3 linked regions of the Notamacropus eugenii genome follow. The main gene of each other region encodes a partner of the protein of the gene in region 2 in a complex. Links are inferred from orthologs where the notes say so. Each region holds a gene or a part of one and is shown on either strand. Other genes may lie near its edges.

Region 1 (7,873 bases), on a different chromosome or scaffold from region 2:
TTTTCCCTTTGATATGTTGTCTCTCTTATTACGACAATTTCACTTATTATTTATGGTAAAGACACTGTCCTAAGTTCCATTTTGGGGGACCCAGATGTTATTGAGTTGATGTTCCTATCCTCAAAGAGCTTATAGTTGTGTAGAGGAAAGAAGGCCAAAGTGATGACCATCTCATGAGGGTTAAAGACAAAGAAATATAGATCTGAGGAGCAGTTTAGAGGCTGACTAGATCTGGGCGACGAGGAAGGAAGAAGGTGAAAAGGGCAAAGGACTGCAGAAGAGTGGGAGGATAGTGATGCCTTTGGCAGATCCAGGGGACGGTGGGAGAAGCAAGTTTGGGAAGGAAGAGAAAATGATGTGGTCAATTCTAGGCACATGGAATTTGAAATGTTGGGAGTACTCTAGAAATATTTAGTGGGTAACTGGAAATGTAGAACTGAGTTGGGTCCAAGCTGAGCATAGAGATTTGTGAATCCTCCACATCGAGGGGTTAGGTGACATTGTGGGAGCAGATGGCAGACAGTGTACGGGGAGACATAGACAAAGATGTACAAGATTTGAGAGTTGAAAGGGACCTTAGTAGCCATGGAATTGGACCAATAAGTGAAAGAAATCCTTCAGTACTAGACCCAATCAGTGGTATTTCAGTATCTGCTTGAAGATTTCCAAGGAAGGTGCCCCAATCCCTGGAGAGAAACAAACAGAAAAACTATGAGAAGTCCATGCTTGGGGGAGGGGGACAGGCAGAGCCTATAAAGAAGACAGAGAAGAATTCAAAGCTCTGCATTAATTTCATCCTTCTCATTTTCTTCAGTCTTGGTTTGCCAAAGCTAACTGCTCCATCTCCGAAGCTAACTTTTATGTTTTTGGGTCTGTTTTCTCACCTATAAAATGGCGGGAAGTGAACTAGATGACTTTTAAGGCCTCTTCTGGTTGTAGATCTAGAATCCTGTAGCATATGCCCTTGATCTCATCCTTTATACCTTCTTGCTCCTTCCATCTTTCCTTCTGTGCTCCCCCCACCTTGATTCTGTAACTGTCGTCTCTTTTTCATGATGACAGTCTGATATGGAAAGAGAGGAAGCATTAAAGCCATAGGAGACCTAGGTCTAAATCATACCTCTGACATTTATGAGCTGTGTGACCCTGGGCAAGAAATTTAACTACCTGGATCCTCTCTTTTCCTGACCTGTAAAATGGATTAATAATAACCCTCGCATCTACCTCATAGAACTGTTCTGAGAAGCTAATATCTATAATATATCTATATAATTATATCTAGAAAGATAATATCCATACAATAATATCCATATAGTATCTATAATATCTATATAGATACTATCTATAATATTTGTAAAGATAATATCTCTATATTATCTATAATGTCTATAAAATGCTTTTCAGGCCTTGAAGTTTTATGTAAATGTCAATTGTCCCTTTCTCTCTTCCTCTGTTGGTTTCATCCCTTTATTCATCACTTGACCCTGAAGATCTCGGACCATGAAATGGCCCCTTTTGATTTCAACCTCCTGTCCTCCTATTTTTTCCACTCCACTGGCTCCTCCTTAATTGGTTTTCTCATGCCCCTTGACTCTCCATTTTCCCAGGAGGGGTTACAATGTTTAATCTCCCCAAACTATTTTGAAAAATACCATTTTCTCATCATCCCATTGTCACCTTTTCTTTCAACATATCACTTCCTCTCTCACCTCTATCTGCTTGTTTCACTTTGAGAAACTCAGTCTACCATTAGGGATTCCAGTTGTCATCTACTATTCCCCTCAGTGTGACTTTTGGCCCCATCACTTTCGTGAAACTTGGCTTTCCAATCACTGATGATCTCTAAGAGGGCAATAGGAATGTAGTGGTAGAATTCTTTGTCTGAGCAAGAATAAAGACCATGAACTTGGTTTCTATCTTTATGTATGACTGGTCATCACTATAGTGACATTTTGTATCTATATTTTTAAGTATAAAGTTTAGTAGCTAATTTTAAAAAGGAATTTTAATTTTAGTTTCTTTAGTTGGTTTGATGACTAAAAATATAGCCTTTTATGATTGGGTAGTCACCAAATACTCATCTTTAAAAAAAAAATAAAGATTCCTCAGTGAACACCCTGAGGAAATCTCCTGGACTTACCTATGAACATCTTTAAAATGAAGGTTTGTTTGAAATTCCTGATTTCCCTCAAGACTCAGCTCAAGTGACACTTTTGACAAGAAACCTTTCTGGATTCCTGCATCTAATATTGTCTCCTCCCCCATCACCCTCTCACCCTGTATCTGTTTCAGATCTACCTGTAGCATCCTCTCTGGGTTTACTTCCCTAACTCTCACATGTGGCTGGCTGGGACTCTGGAAGGCTTGTTCTTCTCACCTCCTAGTGCTAGGGGTAACCCCAAAGGTTTCTTGTATTGCCACTCACAAGCCCCTTACAGTCTCATTCCCCTGGATCATTAGACAACATGAATTCCTTTGTAGAAGGGGGTTCATCTGAGGTTCTTGCCTCACCAGACTGGCTAATTCCCAGCTGCCTCCCTCCAGATGTGCAGCTGATCCATATATATCATCCAATTATCCAAACACTTAATGCCTCTTAAATTGATTAAGGATTTCTTGGCATTAAGTTTACACTTTTGATTGATCTCTTTAGTCAAACTGTCTAGCCCTTTTGAGATGACATTAATCGGGCTGAAGGTAGTCATAGACTCCTGGCCCCCTCCCACTCAATACATATATGTGTATTTCTAATCTCCTTTCTATCCTATCAATCCATCAGTCAACAAGTATTTATTAAGTAATACCACGTGTCAGATAATCCACCAATCCAAAAGCAGGGAATCCAAAGACAGGATTAAAACAGTCCCTTCTGATTGTTGTCAGTCAGTTCTGTTCTACAGGACCCCATGGAATCTTCTTGGCAAAGATACTGGAATGGCTTGTCATTTTCTCCTCCAATGTGTCCCCATTTTACAGATGAGGAACTGAGATAGAGAGGGGTAAATGACTTACCCAGGGTCACACAGCTAGTCGAATTCAGATCTTCCTGACCACAGGTTGCATGCGCTATTCACTGCACCACCTAGCTACCCCTAATTCTAATAGGGGGATGAAAACATAGGAAGTATGTGCAGAATATAAGATGTCCCAAAAAGTCTTAGAGTGGTTCTAAGCTGCTAAGGCTTAGACTTAAGCACTGCGACTTTTGGGACACCCCATATGATACAAAACGAACACTATGTTGTATTGGCACGTCCCGAGAACGGAGTCTCTTATGCGTGGTTAGATCGGAGAGTGCAGGTGCGTGTAAGACGGGAGAGCTAGGAAGGGGATTTGGAGAGCTTTCTTTCAGGGTTACCCACACTGAATAATTCGCGTGCTATCCTGGAGGCAATGGGGAATAATAAAGGATAGCTGAGTAGAGGGGGTGACAGTGTGGTGGATGGTGGACTGGAGAGGGCAGACTGCGAACAGTCAGGTAAGGGAGGGGTGGCTGCGGAGATGGAGAAGGGCCCACATAGTAAAGGGTGGAAGGGCGGAAAGGACAAGATTGGGCAGCGGGCTATATTCGGGGCGGGGGAGGACAGTGGAGTTCTGAGTCTGGGGACCCGGGGGCTGGCAGCGACTAGAACACGGAGGAGGGAAGATGCCTTTCTGGGGATATCAACGAGGACAGAGCTGGACAGCTGCAGGGGTACAGCCAGAGGGAGGGGCTGGGCAGGGCTGATGAATCAGCGCCGGGGCCGGCCCAGGTGCCCGAGGGGGATGGGACCAAGGGCACAGGTTATCCTGGGCTGGGAGGAGGGCCACCTTTTCACTTGGGACAATGGGAACTCAGGAGAAGGGCGGGGTGGGGAGGGGGGCAGGGCAGCGTGTTTTGCATTTTCTCCGCGCCCCTCGAGTAGAGGTCCGGTTTGGGGCTCGAGGCGGATGATAGCTCCGAACTCAAATCTTGGTTCGGGCCCCCACTGGGTGCGTGCCCCTGTCGGTCACTCCTCCTCTCTCCGGAGGTCCAGTTTCATTTTCTGTAAAATGGGTACAATCGACCTTGAACTTGTAGGGAAAGTAGGGAAGCGCTAGAAATTTTGCTGGAGGGATCACGCCCCACACGCCCCTCTCTCTACAACCATAAAGCCCGCCCCGAGCTCCTGCTCCTCCCTTCACCGGCCTCGCCCCATCCAAAAGCCGGGAAGACCAGTCCAAGCTGCCGGCTCCGCCCCCTGCCAATCTTCGTCCTCAAACCCGGCGGTCCGTTGGAAAGCCTCTAGGGGGCGGGGCTCCCGCCTAGGCCGCAGGGAGACTGCAGGGTTGGAGGAAAAGCCCGGTCCTCTGGGCTTCCAACGCCTCTCCGTCCGCCCACTCCGTTTCTCACGGGTCGAGTTGTCCATCTATCAAGCGCAAAAGCGGGTTTCCACTGGGCTACTTGAAGTGAGGGGGCGGGGCCTTGGAGGGCGAGGCGGCAGGGGGCGGGGAAAAGTGAAGGCCGCTAAAGGAAAAGCCCATTCCTTTGGCTTCAATTGTCCCGCCCCCTAGGCTCTCCATGGGCCGAGATGCCCGTCCGTCGATACGTCGGCGGGCTGCGATTGGACACGAATGCCCCGGGGGCGGATCTCGGGCCGCGCGTGGAGCCGCAGATTGGGCGGGAGCGGCTGGAAGGCGGGGCTGGGCGGCGCGGGGAGAGGCGCGGCAGGGCTGGGCGCGGCGCGGCGAGGCGCGGCTAACAGATCACTGCCGTTCCTGGGCAGGCCGGCCGGGGTACCAGACAGAACGACCCTGACCTGCTGGCTGGCGCTGCCGGCCTCGCTCTCTCCCTCCCGTCCGCCCGCTGTTCCGTCCTTCCAGCTCGTTTTCGTTCTGTCGGCTCGAGCGCAGGTGGCAAGCCGGAGCCGGTGCACGGAAGCTGCCGCACGTCCGCTCGAGGGGACCCGACGCGGCTCAGGTGAGCTGGCCGCGTCCTCCGGGGCCAACGGCGTCTCCTGCGCGCACCGCGGGGAGCGCGCCCGAGAGCGGGGCGGGCGGCGACGAGGCACGCAGAGTTCAGCGGCTGCGGGCGGGCGGGCGACCGTGCGCGCGCTTGGTTCTCCGCCGCGGCCGGCCCGGAAATGGATGCGGGCGGGCGGCCGGGTACCTCTGCCCTGCCGGGGTTCCGCGCGGCGGCCCCGGGCCCTGGAGGAGGCACTGCCTGCGGCCGTAGAGTGGCTTCGGATTGTCGGAATTTGGGGTCCGGGGTTGGAGTGGGGGCGTCAGCTGGGCACCTGGTGGGGGGAGGCGTCCCGAGGGCCGGAGGCCCCCTGGACTTCACCCCCTTTCTGACTCCCTAGTCCTTCCCGCTCCCCCTTTCTGTTTTTTTGTGACCCCTTTTCTGACCTCTTTCCGTCTCCCCTGCTTTCTGTCCACCTACCCCTTTCTCTCCCCCTTTGAGTCTCTCTCCCCTCTTGATCTCCCCCTTTTCTCCTCTCCCCTTTCTCTCCTCTTCTGTTCCTTCTCTTCCTCTCACTTTCAGGTGAAGGAGCATTTCTTAAACTCTTCCTTGTTCCAACCCCAGGTAAAAGACACAGAACCAGTGCCTGCCCTCCAGGAACTTACAGGTCCCTTGGCATTGCGCTCTCCTCCCTTTCCCTGCATCCCTCGGGCCTTCAGTGACTCAGTTTCCTGCAGTTGCCCATCCCCCTACTCCTTATCTCACTCCAGCCCCGGACTCCCTTAAGTGCCTGTCGGGAGGGCTTGGCCAGACTTTTGAGCTCTCCTTGGGGCTTGCGTTGGCCGGGCTCTGGCTCTCCGGGGCAGCCCGCTCCGGGCACTGTGGAGGTCTCCAGGCCTTTCTCGGAGGTAACGGGCGGACCGGAGACCGCTTGGCAGCTGTCGGGGTTCCCTCTTGAGTCACGGGCAGACAGTCCTGCTGCAGACATGGCTCTGAGCTCAGCCTTGGTTTCCGCCCTCCCATCACGACTTCCTCATTCGCTTGGCTGTGCTCCGTGGAACCGAGAAAGGGAGGGTGGAGGTGGAGGGGGGTGGGGGTAGTTGGGTCAAGGAAGGGAGTGGGAGCTTCAGCCTGGCACACCATCTCCCTGACTGCTTCCTCCCTCAACTGACCCTTGACTTGGGTGAGGAGGGCCCCTAGGGCCGAAGTGCTGGTATGGGATTGCTTTGGGCTTTCTGCCTGCCAGTCTTCCTTACCTTGCCCCAACTTGCTGTGGGTGAGGTGCAGCCCTCAACTCTGATTACCTTGCCCTTCGGAGGAGCCCACCCAGCTTTTGTGGCTCCGCTCTCTGGGCAGACCTAAGTTTCCTCTTTCCTGTTTTGCAAATGTTTGGGGCTTTTTCCTGATTGCCCTCTCCTCCCCCCTTCCCCTTCCCCTCCTGGGCCACACCCTGTGGGGCTTGAGGGCAGGTCCCCTGGTAGGCCCCTGGAAGGAGAGGGTGTTAGCTCTGCTGTTCCAAAGACACAAGAGAAAAGGTCTATTTCATTAGCTCTCCTGAGCTGAGAAGGGTGTTATTGGAGGGTCTAGCTAATGCCCACAAGTGAGGGACTTAGAACGAGTCACATCAGTGGGCTAGAGTGAGCCTGGAAAGGTTGTATTTACAGAGAAACCCAGCTGTTTGTCCCCAGCACACATGAACTCATTCACTTTCTGCTAGGTTCTCATTGACATCTTTTCCTGGCTTTGAAAGTAACAAGATGCTTCAGTTACTGTTGAAAGTCAAGAGACCTCAGCTTGTTCATCTTGTAACAATGTGGCTAAGTTTGATTTTTCTGGGAGGCTGAGCAATTACTTGCTTCTTCTTACCCTTTTCGCTTAAATAGAGGAATCAGATTTATTTATATTTTTACCAAACTTTTCTTGGTTGGCTGCTGTGGGTTGTATAGGACAGACCTTGATCTCAAGTAGCTCACAGGCTGGTAGAGGACCAGGCTTCAGATCTCAGTCTCTGATGATTACCTGAGCAGTAAGAGTCGGAATCCTACATCTGGGGAGGGCTTGGAGGCCGACTAATGCTACCCCCACCCCCCACCCCCAGCACTAGCTAGCCAGTAGTTGGTACATAGTGGTAGAAGCTTCAAGAGAAGGGTCTTATCATTGTGGGAGTTCAAAGAAGGGAGAACCTATTTTTGATTGGGGGGGAGTGAGAGTGAGAAAGGAGAGTTCCAGGAATTCTCCAAGCATGTTGCCGGCTTTGCTAACTGAGGCAAGTTTGAGTCCAGTCAGAAAGTGAAGAGTCATTTAGTAGGTAATTGGGGGTAATTAAAAACTTCAAAATTGTGCCTTATAATTTTAGAGCCATCATGACCACAGATGGCTGGCTTACCCCAGGCTGAGTGGGACAGGCTGCCGTTTTCAACAGGTTAGGAGTTCTCGACTCATTAAATGCTGCTGTTGAGCCATGGAGCCATTCAGTCTTGGGCATTTTGGTTTGGAGGGCAGTGGAAAGCAGTGCATCTGGACTTGGATGCCAGAGAAGTCCTTGGTCCCACTCTTCTACTGGCCAGGTTGTGTGAATGTGGTCTTCGAGTCAGACTGTTTCCTCATCTGTAAAATGGAGATAATGATACTTGCCCTGCTACCTGCCTCCTAGGGCTCTTGTGGGAAGCAAATGACATGACGCATGTGATGACTGTGGCCACCATTGGTGGTAGAAATGTGAGCCGGCATTTCTTAAGACTCCTTCTAGAAATATAGCTTTGAGATTCTAGATCATTCCAGTTCTGATCCATTGAGATCCCAGATGAAAAACTTATATAATTGAGGAACTCTGGGGTCCTTGCTTTAAAAAAAATAATGAAATTTAAGTTGGCTGTGGGAGAAGGTGTCCAATCAATTCTCTCCCAGGGTAAGGCATGCGTACTAACCTCAGTTTGCTTATTTTGGCTTCTT
Region 2 (7,017 bases):
TGGTATATTTGGTTTGTAGTTATACTTTAAGAGTTTGTGCTAATGTTGTTATCCTTTTCCTAAATGGTGAACATCATGATGGCAGGGTCCATGCGGTATCTACCCTGTGTACCTTCTTTAATGTCTTAGCAAATGGTTTTTGCTTAATAAATGTTTGCTGTATCTCATGACATGATATGCATTCATATGCCCTAGCTGGAGAATAATTGTGTCCTCCTTCCCCAAGTGACCATGCCATCAACCTTGGAGGAAGCATTGGCTGCCATCGTGGATACCTTCCAGCAGTATTCAGCGCGTTCCGGGGACAAATTCAAACTCTCCCAATGTGAGCTGAAAGAATTGCTGCTAAAGGAGTTGCCCACCTTAGCCCCGGTAAAAGGCCGTCAGGGGTCATGGTGAAGATGGGGTGGTGTGAGCTTTTATATTTCATGAGTTATCATTTCTTGAGCTGGCAATCTCGAGCAGAGTGGAATGGGATGTGATGGGAGTGGGGAGTAGGAGGCAAGATCCATGTTTTACAGATCGCTGAATTGGGAGTCAGGAGAGGCAGGCTCTGATCCCAGCGCTGACACTTAGCACCGAAGCCTACAGACTCATAAGTTTATTCAAAAGAAAAGCTGGAATAAAATTCATTATGTGTGAGCTGAAACTCCAAAGTAGGAGTTGCCATTATGATTTAGCATAGCATAGAAAACATCATTATCAGAGAAAGTACATTGTGATGAAATGCCCTTTGAAAGTAAATGTGTTACCTACTTCGAAGAGTGTTTTACAACAGAGGGGTGGAACTTGTAGCTAAGGATGCAAGCATCCCATAAAACTAGCAAGTGTAGCACACACCAGATTGAAATGTAATTGAGGAATGATTAACAAAATAAATAAAAATATAATACAATATAGATAATGTTAATTTGTGGTATTCTAAGTAAACACGTGGCCCTCTGGGATCCATTTCTATGGAATTTGTCATCACAGTTGTAAGGAAAGAACTTTAAACCTTTCAAGTGCTATATAGATGTGAGGTGATTATTAATTAATGATAATAAATGATGGAACAGAATGAAGGATATTTTTAAAAATAAAATTTTAGCAGTCTACATTTTTTTAATATCAGAAAATATAGTCTTTTTTGTGACAGCATGGGGGACTTTACAGTGTAATTCTTAAAGCCTTCAGTGGCTAGCCATACCTCTGGGGGCCATTTTCAAATATGAGGGACATCCTGACTAGGGTATATAAATGCCTTGTTCAAGCACTAAACTGGAGCCCAGAAAGGACTTCCTGACAATGAGATGTAGTCTTTCTGTACAATGTAGATTAAACAGACCATCATCAGTCTGAGAGACACCTGATAAAAATGATTTGCCCAGGGTCACACAGGGGCTCAGGGGATAAAGCTGAGGGACCCAGGTCTCTCGATGTCTAATCCAGTGCTCCTTCTATTATGTCATGGCACTGATTTGAGAAAGCCAAGAAGTTCTTCCTGTCTCAGTCTTTCTTCTTACTCTCTTCTACATTTCCCAGACGAGGCTCCGAGAGTGTGACTACAATACTCTCATGAGTGCATTGGATACAAACAAGGACTGTGAAGTGGATTTCACTGAGTACGTCCGAGCCCTGGCCTGTCTCTGCATCTACTGCCATGAATACTTCCGGGATTGTCCCCCTAACCCTCCTTGTCCTTAGTAACTCCATAAGTGGGATGGGTCAGGGATGGGGGGAGATAAAGTGAATTGATGCTTGGGATAGAGCTGTAACCTTGGTGTTATGTCCCTTCTACCTGGAAGTTGTCTTGGAGAGATTGAACGGTCACTTGTCTGCTCTGTGGAAAGCCAGGTTCTCCTTTGAGGATCCTTGTACTACATAATGGATGAGGTCTCCTAATCTAGACATTCCTTAATCTGTCTCAGTTTTCAGTTTGATTTAGGACCCTTAGGAAATTTCCCTTCTCCTCTTCCAGCTCTTTTGCTTCCTTTTGTCCTTCTCCTTGGGTCTGTGGTATTCTATTCTAATTCAAGAATACACTAAGAAAGTACTTTGGGGAGGTAAAGAGAAGACATAGAGAGATGGTGGGGTTAGTAGGAATGAGGTACTAGGGATGAAATTCTTTTCATTGTTCATGTGCTCACCAGTGTGAATGATCTCTCAATAAAAATGGCTGTTGTTCCAGCTCCCTTTGCGGTGGTTTGGTTATTCTTAAAAGGGAATGGAATAGGGCTGGGCTGGGCTTCTTTGTTACTGAGACCCAACTGTTTTGTCTAATACCTCAAATTCCAGCCATCCTCCTAAGGAACTGGGATTCCCTGAGTCCTGTGAATAAAAACTGAGGGGGTACTTGGAGAACTTGTTGATATTACTAGTTGGGAGAAGAGGCTTTATGTTCTCAGCTAGTCTCACCATCTCTAGAGGAAGGAGGATCAGGAAGAAGAGGGAGTGGTTTTGAAACTGCTGCAAGAGATTTGTGGTTAGATTTGAAAATGGAGAGTATACACATTGGATGAAGGGAGTGCCCTCTGAACATCTAGAGCAGGGGGTCAAATTTCAAGGGGGTCTAGTGAATGGGGGAAAAAAATTACATCTTTATTTTCACTAACCTCTAAATGAAATTTAGCAACTCTCTCAATCATTTGAATATTATTCTGAAGAAAACTTCATCAGACTGGCAAAGGGGTCCATGGCACCAAAATAAAAGTTAACAGCTCCTGAACTACAGGCTTTTCCTCTCTGGGGGTCTTTGAGAGAGAAATACTGGTGGTGGGCTGGAGAGGGAGGCTGTGATAGGGAGAGGTGAAGCACGTCTCAAATCCGGGTTCAGGAGGGCCACTGGGTAACAGTGCTTCCACAACAGAGCACCAGTGAAGTGGAGGGTGGGGCCTGGGTGGGGCTGCCCATTTCTAGCCTGGGGCTGTGGGGAGCCGCCAGGGCTGAAATGGCGGCACTAATAGGATTAAAGCTGATGGCCTGTTTTCTTCTCGTTTTCTGGTATACCTCTCCCAACCCCAGTCCAGAGTAAGGGGACAGCATCTGGGAGAGATACCCCTGTGCCTTGGTCTGATAACTGATTAGCAAACCTTTGAAGATATTTTATCCCTACTCTCATCTCCTGATATGTAACCTTAGGATGCCATCCTCAACATCCAAGTGTCCCGTATCCCATAGGTTCATGTGTCCCCCTTTATTCTGGCACCCCCACCTCACCCCCATATACACTCTCATGTGTACTCTTTCCCTCGATTTGTGTCCCTCTTCACCTTCTCGGGTCTCATTCTGGGCACTCATGTGTCCTTCCCTCCCTGTTCTGATTCATTCCAGATGCACATGGGTGCACCCCCCACCCCAATCCTGACAATCAGCCCCATCCTACACACTCATGTGTTCCCCTTCCTTCCTTCGTCCCTACACTTGGACTCCTTCTGGGCACTCAGCCACAAACTCCAGAGGATAACAGTACTTGGAGATGTTTTTCTTTCCATGGAGTATTTCCCAAGCATTCTCCAAGTCTTTTTCTCTGGAGTTAGCCTGGCATCCACTTCCATATCCTTCACACATATATCCTGCTATGTCTAGGAGAGCCACACCCTCAGCAGAGCCCTGCTCCCCATGAGGCAAAGGGACTAAGTGGCCCCCTCTCTCACACCAGATCAGTCCTGTGCCCTGGGTCTTTCTTCCTTCTGTTCTAGAAGATTCTTAGTTTTGTAGGAATTTTCCATCCTCATGCTCTCCCCTCCCCTTTCCCCTACAACTTAACAAAGACTGCATACCCCCCTCTTATTGTAGCCCCTCCTACAAAGTGGGGTTGGGGCTCTACCTACTCCTTCAGATTGGGGGCTCAAGGCCTGTGGGCGCTGTCTGGCTCTATTTTCAGGGTTCTCTCTCTCTCTGATGGGGGGGAGTAGTCCCTGAAAACTATCCCTGTATTAGTGCCTCATCTTGTGTAAGCTTTGCTCACCCACCAGCCAACGTGAGCTAGGAGGTGGAAGAGGCCTTGCTATTGGTCTTCTCTGACCCAGCATCAGGGAGGGGGTGTCCCAGCTCCCCTCCGCCCCTTGCCACAGGCAGGGTTTGGCTGGGGGTATAAATAGGCCCTGGCTCAGCCCTCCCCACTGTGTCCCTCTCTCTCTCCCCTCTCTGCATTTCTTCTCTGGTTGGTTTGGTGAGTTGTGGTTGACTTGGCCGGGGATGTGGGTGACAGGACCCTAGGGCCTGGTAGACAGAGGAGGCTGAGTGGGGGCCAGATGTAGGAAGTAGATCCAGATGTGAGGATCCTACAGAAAGACTCTGAGGAAGGAGTGGTGAAGAGGGGTAGGTGTTTCAGGTTTGAGTTGTAGAGAGATGCCAGGGTGGGGTGGAGGAGTGTCCCAGTGGGGGAAAGATTGCAAGACCATCTGACTTGGATGCTGTATGCATGTTGCATATTACATCTCTGCACCTGGAGAGTGCATCTGTGTCAGCAGCATGTAGTCATGTTTCATGCATGTACATATGTACATGTGGAGCTGTGTAGTGGCTGTGTAGAAACCTCACTTCTGATCTCTCTCCCGAGCAGGGGAATAGCTCCCCCTCTGTCCACTTCTCCTCCCCCTCCTCTCCTTCCTAACTCACCCTCCCCTCTGCTTGACTGTTTTTTTCCATTGTCAGTCCCAGGGCCTGTCTCCAGAAGCAACCGCCCACTCCTGTGCACAGAGCAGAAGAATGGGCTGGGGAGGGCTAAGCTTTGGGGAATGTGTGAGTGTGAGTGAATGAGTGGTGGAAAAACCGAGCTGGAGATTACCATTGCTAGCTTGTTGTTGTGGTACTGGGCACTGAGAGGAGCCTAGGGTGGGGCAGGCATTGCAGAAACAACTTCCTAGGGCGACTAGGCAGGCGAAAGAAACTAGAGAGGAAACTTCAGGGCAACAGTTTTGTGCAGGGAGGTGGGGACAGAGGACTGGTTTAAAAAATGACCTTTAATGTGTTCTAAACTTAACTGGATGCAGTGGCAGATTTTCTCTGAAGAGGTGCAGTGTGCCTGGCAGGGAGGCATCGGAAGATCTGGGCCCCACTCTGCTTCAGTTTCCTCACATAAGAGGCTGCCAACCAAGAGAGCTTCCCTGAACCTCCTATATGGGGAAACTGAGGCAGGGTGGGGTTCGGCATTCTTCAATCTTTTTGTGCTCCCTCAGGCATAACTATAGTAGGGGCTGCAGTATGAATTGTCAGTCCTGAGTCTAAGGACTATTTGGCCTTCTTTGGAGGGCCTCTTCTCTTTATTGTCTGACCCTGCTTGGGCCAGGGCTAGTTTCTCTGTCCTGTCGGTTCGTGCCCTCAGGGTGGTGAATCCTGCCCCATTCATGCTTTACTCTGAGAGGAGCCCAGAAGTCAGCTCTCTAGGGAGGTGTCCAGAATCGTCCTGTCTTGAAGGGAGGAGCTGGGACCCTGATGGTCCCAGGGTGAAGGGTTCAGAGGATGGGGTGGAATGCTGACATTTATGCTGGTTTTGGATCTATAAAGTGAGGAGCTCAGTCTAGATTTAGTGGTTCCCAACTTCTTTGAGTAGGTAGACACTTTTTAATGTAAAAAAATTTCTAGATCCTCCCCTCCCACCTCATTATAGTAAAAATATAGAATATATAGAAAATATAGGGAAAATAGAAAAATTAGCATAAGTTGACTCAGAATAACAACAAAAATTCAGTAACACTTTTGAATGCACCTACTATAATCAAAAAATAGTAAGATGTGTGAGATTTTTATTTTACTTATTTATTACATATTTATATATATTATCATGTATTGATAATATATTCTTTATTTTGAGTCACTGCAATTACTCAAAGTCCATAGTCAGGGAATGGCTGCAACTAGACAGATGAGCACTAAGGCTTCTTATCTCTGCCCAGAGAAAGGAAGCAAGTTGTTCATAGTCACATGGGTAATAAACCAGAATTCAAATCCAGATCCTGTGGTTCCAGATCCAGGGTACTTTCCACTTCGTCTTGTTATCCAAGCCAGTTAAATTTGGAAGGTTCACCTCTGGAAGAGCAGCAGCCAGTTTACCATGCTTTTTGGACTGCCTTAGCAGTGCCCTAACATGATCCATCGTGATCACTTAAGGAATAATAGGTTGTCTATACAGGGAGCCCTGTCTAGGGTGGGGCATCCCAGGCATTGCCTCAAGTCCTCCAGATGAATATGAACAACTGAGTCTAGAACCTCAATAAGAAGAATAATGAGTTAAAATGGAAAAATTGGGTTTTTTCCTAGATTTCATTTCCCTTCCTCTAACCTTCCAAATGATTTTTCTTAAAAAAAGGTGCTGATTTGAGGGCATTTTTCTGACTTCTCACTCCATCATTGGGTTTTCAGAAGCTTATTCTGGGCTAGAAAGATGTGGGTTTCAGTTCTATTTCTATAGGAATCACTCACTATTCGTGTTGGTGGTACTGAACTCATCAGAGGAGGGAGGTTCCCACATGGATGACATCACCCATTCTTGAAGTAGTCCAACACAATCCCACATCCACTCTGTCCCAAATCAAAGGTGTCTTCACTTGCTCCCTCCTAGGTGCCCCTTAGGACAGTATCATGGCAAGCCCTCTGGAAAAGGCTCTGGATGTGATGGTGTCCACTTTCCACAAGTACTCTGGGAAGGAGGGAGACAAGTTCAAGCTCAACAAAACAGAGCTGAAGGAGCTGGTGACTCGGGAACTCCCTAACTTCTTGGGGGTGAGTAGTGTGTATGTGTGCTGTGGAATCCATAGATCAGCTCCTGCCTCCAGCTCTCCTGCCACTCGAGACGCCTGTTGACCACATATTCTCATTTATTATAATTATCATATTAACTATTATAGCTAATTATTGTAGAAGAAAGGTTCTTAACCTGGGGTTGGTGAGCTATGCTATTATATTTATATATTATATTTTAATATTTCATGTTATATGATTTTATTTTTATATTTAAGTATAGTTGGTAATAGTGTGTATTTAATTTTATGCATCTAAAAATGCACTTAACCTGGAGTCAGGAAGAAGCAAGTT
Region 3 (7,399 bases), on a different chromosome or scaffold from region 2:
TTGAAGATACCATAGAGGGAAGGGTAATAAATTTAGGACTAAAAGAGAAAACTGAGAATTAAGAGGCTTGCCCAAGCTGCACAGGAAGTAAGCATCTGAGGAGGTATTTAAACCCAGCTCTTTCTGATTTCAAGTGTAGTGCCTTGGCCATTGCCCCATGTTGCTTCTCAAACGTAATTATAATCACATTACCTTACAGGGTTGTGCTATCCTTTTGGTGCAGGCCCTATACATCTAGTACCCTTCTTCTCCCCTTTCCATTGCTTGCTAGAGATTAGACCTATGATTTCATCTGAATAGAGAGTTCTCTCTAGCAATACACATTGGAACCTTTTATGAGTTTATAGTCTTAACTATAGAGCACTGAAAGTAATGGGTCATATATCATATGTGTCAGAAGCAGAACTAGAACCCAGCTTTCTGCTATTCTTAAGCAAAATGTTTCATATGTGTTTATTCATCTGATCCTCACAAAGACCCTATTATTATCTCTCTTATACTGATTAAAAAAATTGAGGCTGAGAGAGGTTAAGTGACTTCCCCCTTGAGCGTACTAGTGCCTTTCCTACTATCTAATAAGTACTCAAGGCAAGATTTGAACTCAGGTCTACCTAATTCCATGTCCAATATTTTTTCACTGTACCACTTATTATCTTGATAGTCTTGAACTAGGGGATCATGGGAGTCTTTTCCAATCCTAAAATTCTCTGATGAATTCCATGAGAGATAGCATACCAATGAATATAATATGAGGTCTGGTCCAGTAAACAGTTGGCCACCTCTGGAAAGAAACATAAAACAAGAGGGAATCATGCAGAAGAAGGATTGGATTTGTTCTGTTTGGTCCCAAAAGGCATAGCCAGGAGCAATAGCTGGATGCTGCAGAGTCATATTGAGGCTTACTGTAAGGAATTTCCTAACAATTAGAAGAATCATTCCAGTAGGCTGCTTCAGGAGGTAGTGAGTGCTTCCTCATTAGAAAGAGACTGGATAACCACTCATTAGGTATATAATGCAGGGCATTTCTTTTGGGGTATGGTTTAGAGTAGATCAGTGGTTCCAAAAGTTTTTGGTTCTTGAACCCCTCTCAACAACAGAAAAAGGTGTTGTGAACCTATAGAGTAATTTCATATACTTCTCTTGATATTCTTTTAGAGTTATTCCTTAAGTACTTATAACAATGCTAACTTTTGCCCCCAAATTAAAATCTGTATTATATAATTATAAAATATAAAATTTGACTCTACCTTTAATTATGAAAACTAAATATAAAATTTCAAAACTAATCATAAAATAATTATGAATATTTTCTGTGGCACATTCTGTAAGAATTAAGAGGTGATTCAGCAAGACCTCATATGCTTACTATAATATGCAAGACTTCAAATTAAATTTCTTTATTTTACGATTTTATTGAATATAAGTTACATTTTCCTGAACTAAGAACTTGGAAGATGTTTGTAAAAATCAACTTAATTCCAAAACTGAACATTTTTATTTAAACAAATATTCATAACATTTGACTCAACAGATAAACACAGTCTTATATCTGGTTCTTTATTGAGTTTATTTCTGTATTTTGATTTTAAACAAGAATAAAGTAAAAATACTTGCTCATGCAATTGTGTTAGAAAATGGTAAAAGAATTTTACAAGCTTTCTTGTTGAGAGATGGAAAATCATTTGAAAAAATTTTAGCCTCCTAATCAATTGATGAAAATGAATAGCTAGTTATGATAGAAAATACTTGCTTTTCTATTAGCTAATAATAAGTGCTATATTAAATGATCAGTATATTTAAAGTTCAATTGCATATATTGCTTCATTTTCATAATATAAGTAACATATTTGATTATAAATAATATAAACTAACCTTTTTAGGAAAAAATCTCTTTGGACATGATTTCCTTACAGAAACTCTACTAAATGACTGACTGGTGTTGCCAACCAAAAATTTGAAAATATACTGGAGAGAATAGTAACATAAGAGCAGTATAAATTTAAACTGGAAAACAGCCTTAATACTACAATGAAAGGTGATCTAGAATTTATTTCTACAGAACAAATTTGATGGTCCATGATGATTTCAAGATGGCTTGCAATGTGCCTGCCTAGTTCACACTTTGATTTTCGAATACTTTGACATTTAGTGGTAAGAACACAAACATTCATAACACCTAGATCGCATGATGATATAATTTATAACATGATTATAGGGTAACAGATCATAACAAGGGAGCTACTCTGGTGAAGTGTACAGAATACAAATGGGAAAATGCATTTGAGTCTGACTGTGTCTTGGGAATTGGTTTGTGCTTGCATGTTGAACCCTTATGGTGGTTTGGAAACAATTTGATGACAGGTTGAGAAACTGCAAAAACACATAGCACTTAGAAGCAGGTCAAATTTGATATAATCAATGCATGAACACCAAAATGTATGTATGATAATGACAGTTTCAGATAGCTGGAGAAATAAATCTGTAATGCTTCAAACATATACATTCTTATTGTCACAGAGAAAAATATTTTTGTGATATAACTGGACAATAATCTACTACCAAACATAAGGTAAAGAATTTTTAGCATGAACTTCTTGGATAATCACAGATCACTAAATGGGAACCACTGGAGTAGATGACTGCTAAAGTCTCTTCCCTTTCTAAAATTCCATGATTCTATGTTTTAAAAAATCCAGTTATGTTGACAGGAACTTCCCAAATTAGCAATGTCAAGCCATATATCCCCATCCCTCCAAGCTTAGGTCATTATTGACAAATCAGAGTTTGTTTAATTTGTTATATTGGGCTTTATATTTCAGATGGTCAACTAAGTATGGATTAGAAAAAATAATCAAGAAAGATGTTCTTTTAAATCTTTGAGGTCTCAACACATTGTATCTTTTGAATGAAATGCTTTCTTGACAGTACCTATCACTAATGCAATTGGAAGCATATTCTCTGCCAGTCCAAGGGATTAAAAAAGGCCTTGTGTCAGAAAAAGGAAATTCTAAATATCCCATAGCTGTTATTTCATGAAAGTGATACTGGCAGAGTGCTGACAATCCTTATCTCAACACTACTTTTGGAGTAGGTACATAAACATGGTTTCTGCCTTAAGGCCTTTTAGTCTAAGTTTCAGAAAAAAAAAATGCAGTCCAGGAATTATATTAAAGCTATTCTAATGTCAGACATGTGACCTTTATGTTTTCTTTTTCTTTACATCTTTCACTTAAAGTCTATCATAGATCCCTCATGGGATATTTTGGAGGGATTTGAAATTTTTTAAAAAGTGGGAACCTTTGATATCTGGCTAGAAGAATGGGGTTCCAAACTCATCTGTAAAGAAAAGGAGGATAGATTTAGACAAAATATAACTAAGTAGGAAGGGAAGATGAGAATGGAAGACCAAAAAAATCTTGAAGAAAAGGAAGAATACCTTGAATATGAAAAACAGGAAGGAAAAAAGGGAAGCATTCAAATAGGGGGAGGTAGTGACAAGACGTTTAATAATTTTACCAGGAGCTTTTTAGATAAATTGAGAAGAAAAATGACTGGTTGCTAAATCAAACAAAAATGTTGTTTACTCATTGGTTGCCAAGTAAGAACACTGTCCAAACAAAGTATTAATGGTGAGAGATGGAGTTTAGGGAAATGGGGGCAAAGTCAAGGGAGTAGGGATAAATGACTGAGAAATAACAACTGTGCTAAAACAAGGGAGAAAAGAAATCCAATATTGGGACTGGACTGACATGACACTAACCCAATGGTCTAAGTTTGTAGACAATTTTGCAGGATCAACAGATCCTCCAAGACAGTGTAAACTTCCAGAATATATAGCACATATATGAATAAAAACTGCTTGTAAAACCCACTGCATATACCCAGAACTCAGAAACTTCTCAGGGAGAAGTGGAAATTGTGATGAGTAAAATTTACTCTGGAGTAAAGGAGTTTCCTCTAGTTTGGAAACTTGGCTTTGAGGTTTCTATTTCCAATGAGCCAGGAACAGTTCTATTACCCACCCTATTCAAACTCTGGCTGAGTGCTGCAGCGATGTGTTGCCAGGGCTTGCCCAAATGTGAAACTCTGACATTTGGAAGCCCGCAATGACTCCTTTCCATGCACTTCTTTGGGTATTAAAGGACAGACAGATATGCCAAGGACCAAGTGCTGCAGCAAGCTCATTCTGATAATGCATTGTGGCTTTCTTCTGGGAACTGCCTTGTCTAAGGTTAAGCTAATAGTTTTGCAGACAATAGACGAGTGCCAGCAGCCTTAGCTCGGAGGAACAGAGATTTATGTTTCCTGGAACAACCAACCCCCTTTTCTGCTTTTTACACTGACAACATCAGAACGTGAAACTATTTAACCAAGCTGAGGGATGGCTACTTCTTTAACAGCAAGCACACCAACCTCGCCCTAAACTTCACACCCCTGCCCTCTTTCTCCGACCCCTTTCTCAGCTCTCTAAACTTGATGTGATGTTGAACAAGGAAGGGGGTCAAGAACCCAGAAGGAATGGGTGGCAAGAAGTCCGGAGGGTAGACCTTGGACCAGCAGAAGCAGGAGAAAGCCAGTTGGGGCCTCATTTCTAATAATAGCTAGGAAGGTTTTGTTGGAGAGGTCAGAACTTGATGCTCAGCCGGTTAACGTTGGGGCTCCCACTGAACCCCCGGGGAACCCCGCCCTGCTAGCTAAGTTTTTGCACAATGTTTCCTGCCACGGTGAGTGTGTGTGTGTGAGTCACTATGAATCAGGGGAGGTCCTGGGGAGGGGGAGAAGAGGCGGGGCGGGGAGGGGCGGGGCGGGGACTGCTCCTGCTGAGGATGTGGCAGAGGATAAAAACCCCACCCAAGCGGTCCCGGCTCTGCCCGAAGCCCGACTAGCTCTCTGCTCTGTCCGCGCTTGGCACAGGTAAGGCGTGGCCCGCCCGCTATTCCGGTCCTTCGGCTATAGCGGGGAGGGAGAAGTTCTTGAAAGAAAAAAAAGGCCATTGCAAAGGGCCTCAGACTTGCTTTGGGGCGGAGGGGGATGACCACCCGGGAGACGGGCCCCGGGCGAGGCTCCTGGGGCGCGGGGCTCGGGCCAGGACACCTGGGGAGAGCGGGAGTGTGGCCAGATGCCCGTCGGAGCCTCCCAGCCTGCGCGCAGGCCGCACAACGGGGGGCACGGGCGCCCAGCTTCAGGCGAGGGTGAAGGGTCCCTGCATTCCAGGGAGGTAAGGGCGTGGCGGTGCAGTGATCGAGGGCCGCGGCGGATGCGAGAAGTTTCCACCAAGTGGGGTTTTCAACGTTTATTTATGTAAAAAGTGCACAGACATTTCCGAAGTCAAGTAACTGGCCTTAAATAAAGGTTCCATGAACTCTCTTGGTGCAATCCCCTGCTTTTAATGACTGGAAGGAACCGGGGAGAGCTAGTCTGGTTGCATTGCTGCATCCTGAGGGAAGTCCTACGGACAGCGGGCACAGATGGCTATAGTAGCTTCAAACCTTCTGTTCTTGGGAGTCGTCCTTTTCTTTTTCCTTTTGTTTTTCTTTTCCTTCCTTCTTTAATTTCCCTCTATTTACGATTCCCCTTTCCTTTTATCCCTCTTTCTTTTCTCTCCTTTTTCTTTTCTTCCCACCTTCTTTTCTTCTGAAAGGGTGGGAGCAGCTTTTACCAACGGATCCCAGTATCCCTTGGATCCCCCATCCCCAGTATTGGTGCAGTAGGCAGGGTTGTGGCCATGGTGGGGGGGGGGAAAGGGGGGAACTACAGTTTTGCCCTTGGCCTAACAGGATAGTTCAGATGGGGGTAATATGGTGGAAGGTGTTACTGGTTCTAATTCTTTGAGTATATGAATTCAGAGCCTACAGAGAGGCCTGGCCTTCCAAATAGATTTAGGCCCAAGTGGCTACTTCTGTGATGGGCCGAGTGAATTTATGACATGCCTGTGCTGACTGGATAGAACGGAAAGAGCAATAGATTTAGATTCCAGTAGCAAACACATAACCTCAAAACATTGGGTTCCTCATCTGTGAAATGGGGATAATGATAACTCTTCTCCTTACTTGCCTGCAGTAGAAGGAACTGAATGGTACAGTGGAAGGAATGCTGCATTTTGAGTTGGAGAATCTAGGTTTAAATTGTCTCTGACTCTTATCTCGATGACCATAAGGCAAGTCACTTCACTTCCTGGCAGGGGTTACCATATCTGTCAATTGAGATAGTAGTATTTGATTATTTCTAAGGGCACTCCCATCTCTATATCCTGTGACCTTGGAGTGTAAGTTACCTATTTTCTCTATGAAAGAGCAGCCTAAAATGGGTTCACTTATTCTCTAATGGATTGTGAGTCTTTGAGGGCTTTTAAGAAAGTCCATACTTTTTCTACAGTGTTGGGCCAAGAAGTTTATTTGTAAATTATTTTAGGAATGGTAGGGAAATCATGGAATATTAGACCCGGGAAGAGTCTTAGGAAGTTCATTGGAAGAGCTGGTATCCAAACCTGAAGTCCTTTGATTTCAGAACAAACGGTTTTTCCATGGCAGCGATGACTCACTTGCCACACCATGAGTGGGTGTGGCAGGGATTGTGGCAGCATGGGTTCTTTCAGGCTGAGGCCTGTCTGTAGTATCCACCATTTTCTCTTCAGAGGCATGGCCCTGATAAAGGCTCCATAAAAGTTGCTTACTGGTCAGGAATATAAATATGGATTGGAAATGCAATGTTAATGCATTATGTCTTTGTGATATTAAAGCTGATTGATTTTATTCCTGTAGTTATGACCCCTAGCTTTCTGATTGATATTTCTATTAATGTCTTTGGAAAAAAACCGGTCTAAGGAGAGACACATTTCTTCCCTAATTGCTATTGATTTAAGGGGCTATGTGTTTTTCCTCTGGTGATGGATTTAATGGCACCAATCCATTGAGTACCAGGTCTTCATTCAGGAAGCACAAATTGTCATAAATCCTACAGACCTGCTTTAGATGGTTACAAAGATAACTGGAAAAAAGAATCATAGATTTAGAGCTGGGAAAGGAACCTAGAGGCCATCTTATTCCATATGGGATCTAAGGAGGTCTTCAGACTCCAAATCTAGTGACTACATCCCTAAATTAATTTTCTGTTACTGCTGTGGTTGATATGGCAAAAATGGGGGTAAATGACTCACTAAAACGTTAACACTTGTAATGTTGGAGTTAATAGTCATACAGAGAGCTTTCATTTTAAACCAGTCGGTCTTCACATAAATAGCTCAGGTAGCCTGTTGTGGGCTTGTGTTGCTTAAAGTGACAGCTTTGACCTAGCTTTAGATGTAATTGTCCGAATTAATTAGATAGACAATTGCTACTCCTCCTTTTTAAGCTCGGGGATCCCCATTTCCCCTGGTGCTTGAATGCTGCCACACCCAGTT

The links.
Region 1: the proteins of protein S100-A4 (region 2) and MYH9 are in contact, whole or in part, in an NMR structure (PDB 2LNK), measured with the Homo sapiens proteins. The link is inferred for Notamacropus eugenii from reciprocal best matches to the Homo sapiens genes S100A4 and MYH9. Residues at the interface, in NP_002952.1 of Homo sapiens: Leu38, Ser44, Phe45, Leu46, Gly47, Lys48, Arg49, Thr50, Asp51, Ala54, Phe55, Lys57, Leu58, Asn61, Leu62, Ser64, Gln73, Glu74, Cys76, Val77, Phe78, Ser80, Cys81, Ile82, Met84, Met85, Cys86, Glu88, Phe89, Phe90; in NP_002464.1 of Homo sapiens: Thr1906, Ala1909, Met1910, Glu1913, Val1914, Ser1915, Leu1917, Lys1918, Lys1920, Leu1921, Arg1922, Asp1925, Leu1926, Pro1927, Phe1928, Val1929, Val1930, Pro1931, Arg1932, Met1934, Ala1935.
Region 3: the proteins of protein S100-A4 (region 2) and ANXA2 are in contact, whole or in part, in a crystal structure (PDB 5LPU), measured with the Homo sapiens proteins. The link is inferred for Notamacropus eugenii from reciprocal best matches to the Homo sapiens genes S100A4 and ANXA2. Residues at the interface, in NP_002952.1 of Homo sapiens: Lys35, Leu38, Pro43, Ser44, Phe45, Leu46, Gly47, Lys48, Arg49, Thr50, Asp51, Ala54, Phe55, Lys57, Leu58, Asn61, Leu62, Gln73, Phe78, Cys81, Ile82, Met84, Met85, Glu88, Phe89, Phe93; in NP_001002857.1 of Homo sapiens: Leu13, Glu14, Pro21, Ser22, Ala23, Tyr24, Ser26, Val27, Lys28, Tyr30, Thr31, Asn32, Phe33, Glu36, Arg37, Leu40, Thr44, Gln69, Asp70, Phe73, Arg77, Arg78.

Annotation. Positions count from the first base shown.
Region 1 is NC_092874.1:293,431,285-293,439,157, reverse strand, and holds the start of MYH9 (myosin-9), read left to right. Parts: upstream 1-4,801; 5' UTR 4,802-4,939; intron 4,940-5,738; exon of another isoform or gene 5,739-5,829; intron 5,830-7,206; exon of another isoform or gene 7,207-7,528; intron 7,529-7,848; exon of another isoform or gene 7,849-7,873. UniProt on the Homo sapiens protein: Cellular myosin that appears to play a role in cytokinesis, cell shape, and specialized functions such as secretion and capping. Required for cortical actin clearance prior to oocyte exocytosis. Promotes cell motility in conjunction with S100A4.
Region 2 is NC_092873.1:377,524,187-377,531,203, reverse strand, and holds the start of protein S100-A4, read left to right. Parts: upstream 1-3,932; 5' UTR 3,933-4,153; intron 4,154-6,544; 5' UTR 6,545-6,564; coding exon 6,565-6,705; intron 6,706-7,017. Other genes in the region: S100A3 (protein S100-A3), read left to right, coding at 232-372, 1,525-1,686. UniProt on the Homo sapiens protein: Calcium-binding protein that plays a role in various cellular processes including motility, angiogenesis, cell differentiation, apoptosis, and autophagy.
Region 3 is NC_092872.1:148,524,033-148,531,431, forward strand, and holds the start of ANXA2 (annexin A2), read left to right. Parts: upstream 1-4,357; 5' UTR 4,358-4,724; intron 4,725-4,773; exon of another isoform or gene 4,774-4,914; intron 4,915-7,399. UniProt on the Homo sapiens protein: Calcium-regulated membrane-binding protein whose affinity for calcium is greatly enhanced by anionic phospholipids. It binds two calcium ions with high affinity. May be involved in heat-stress response.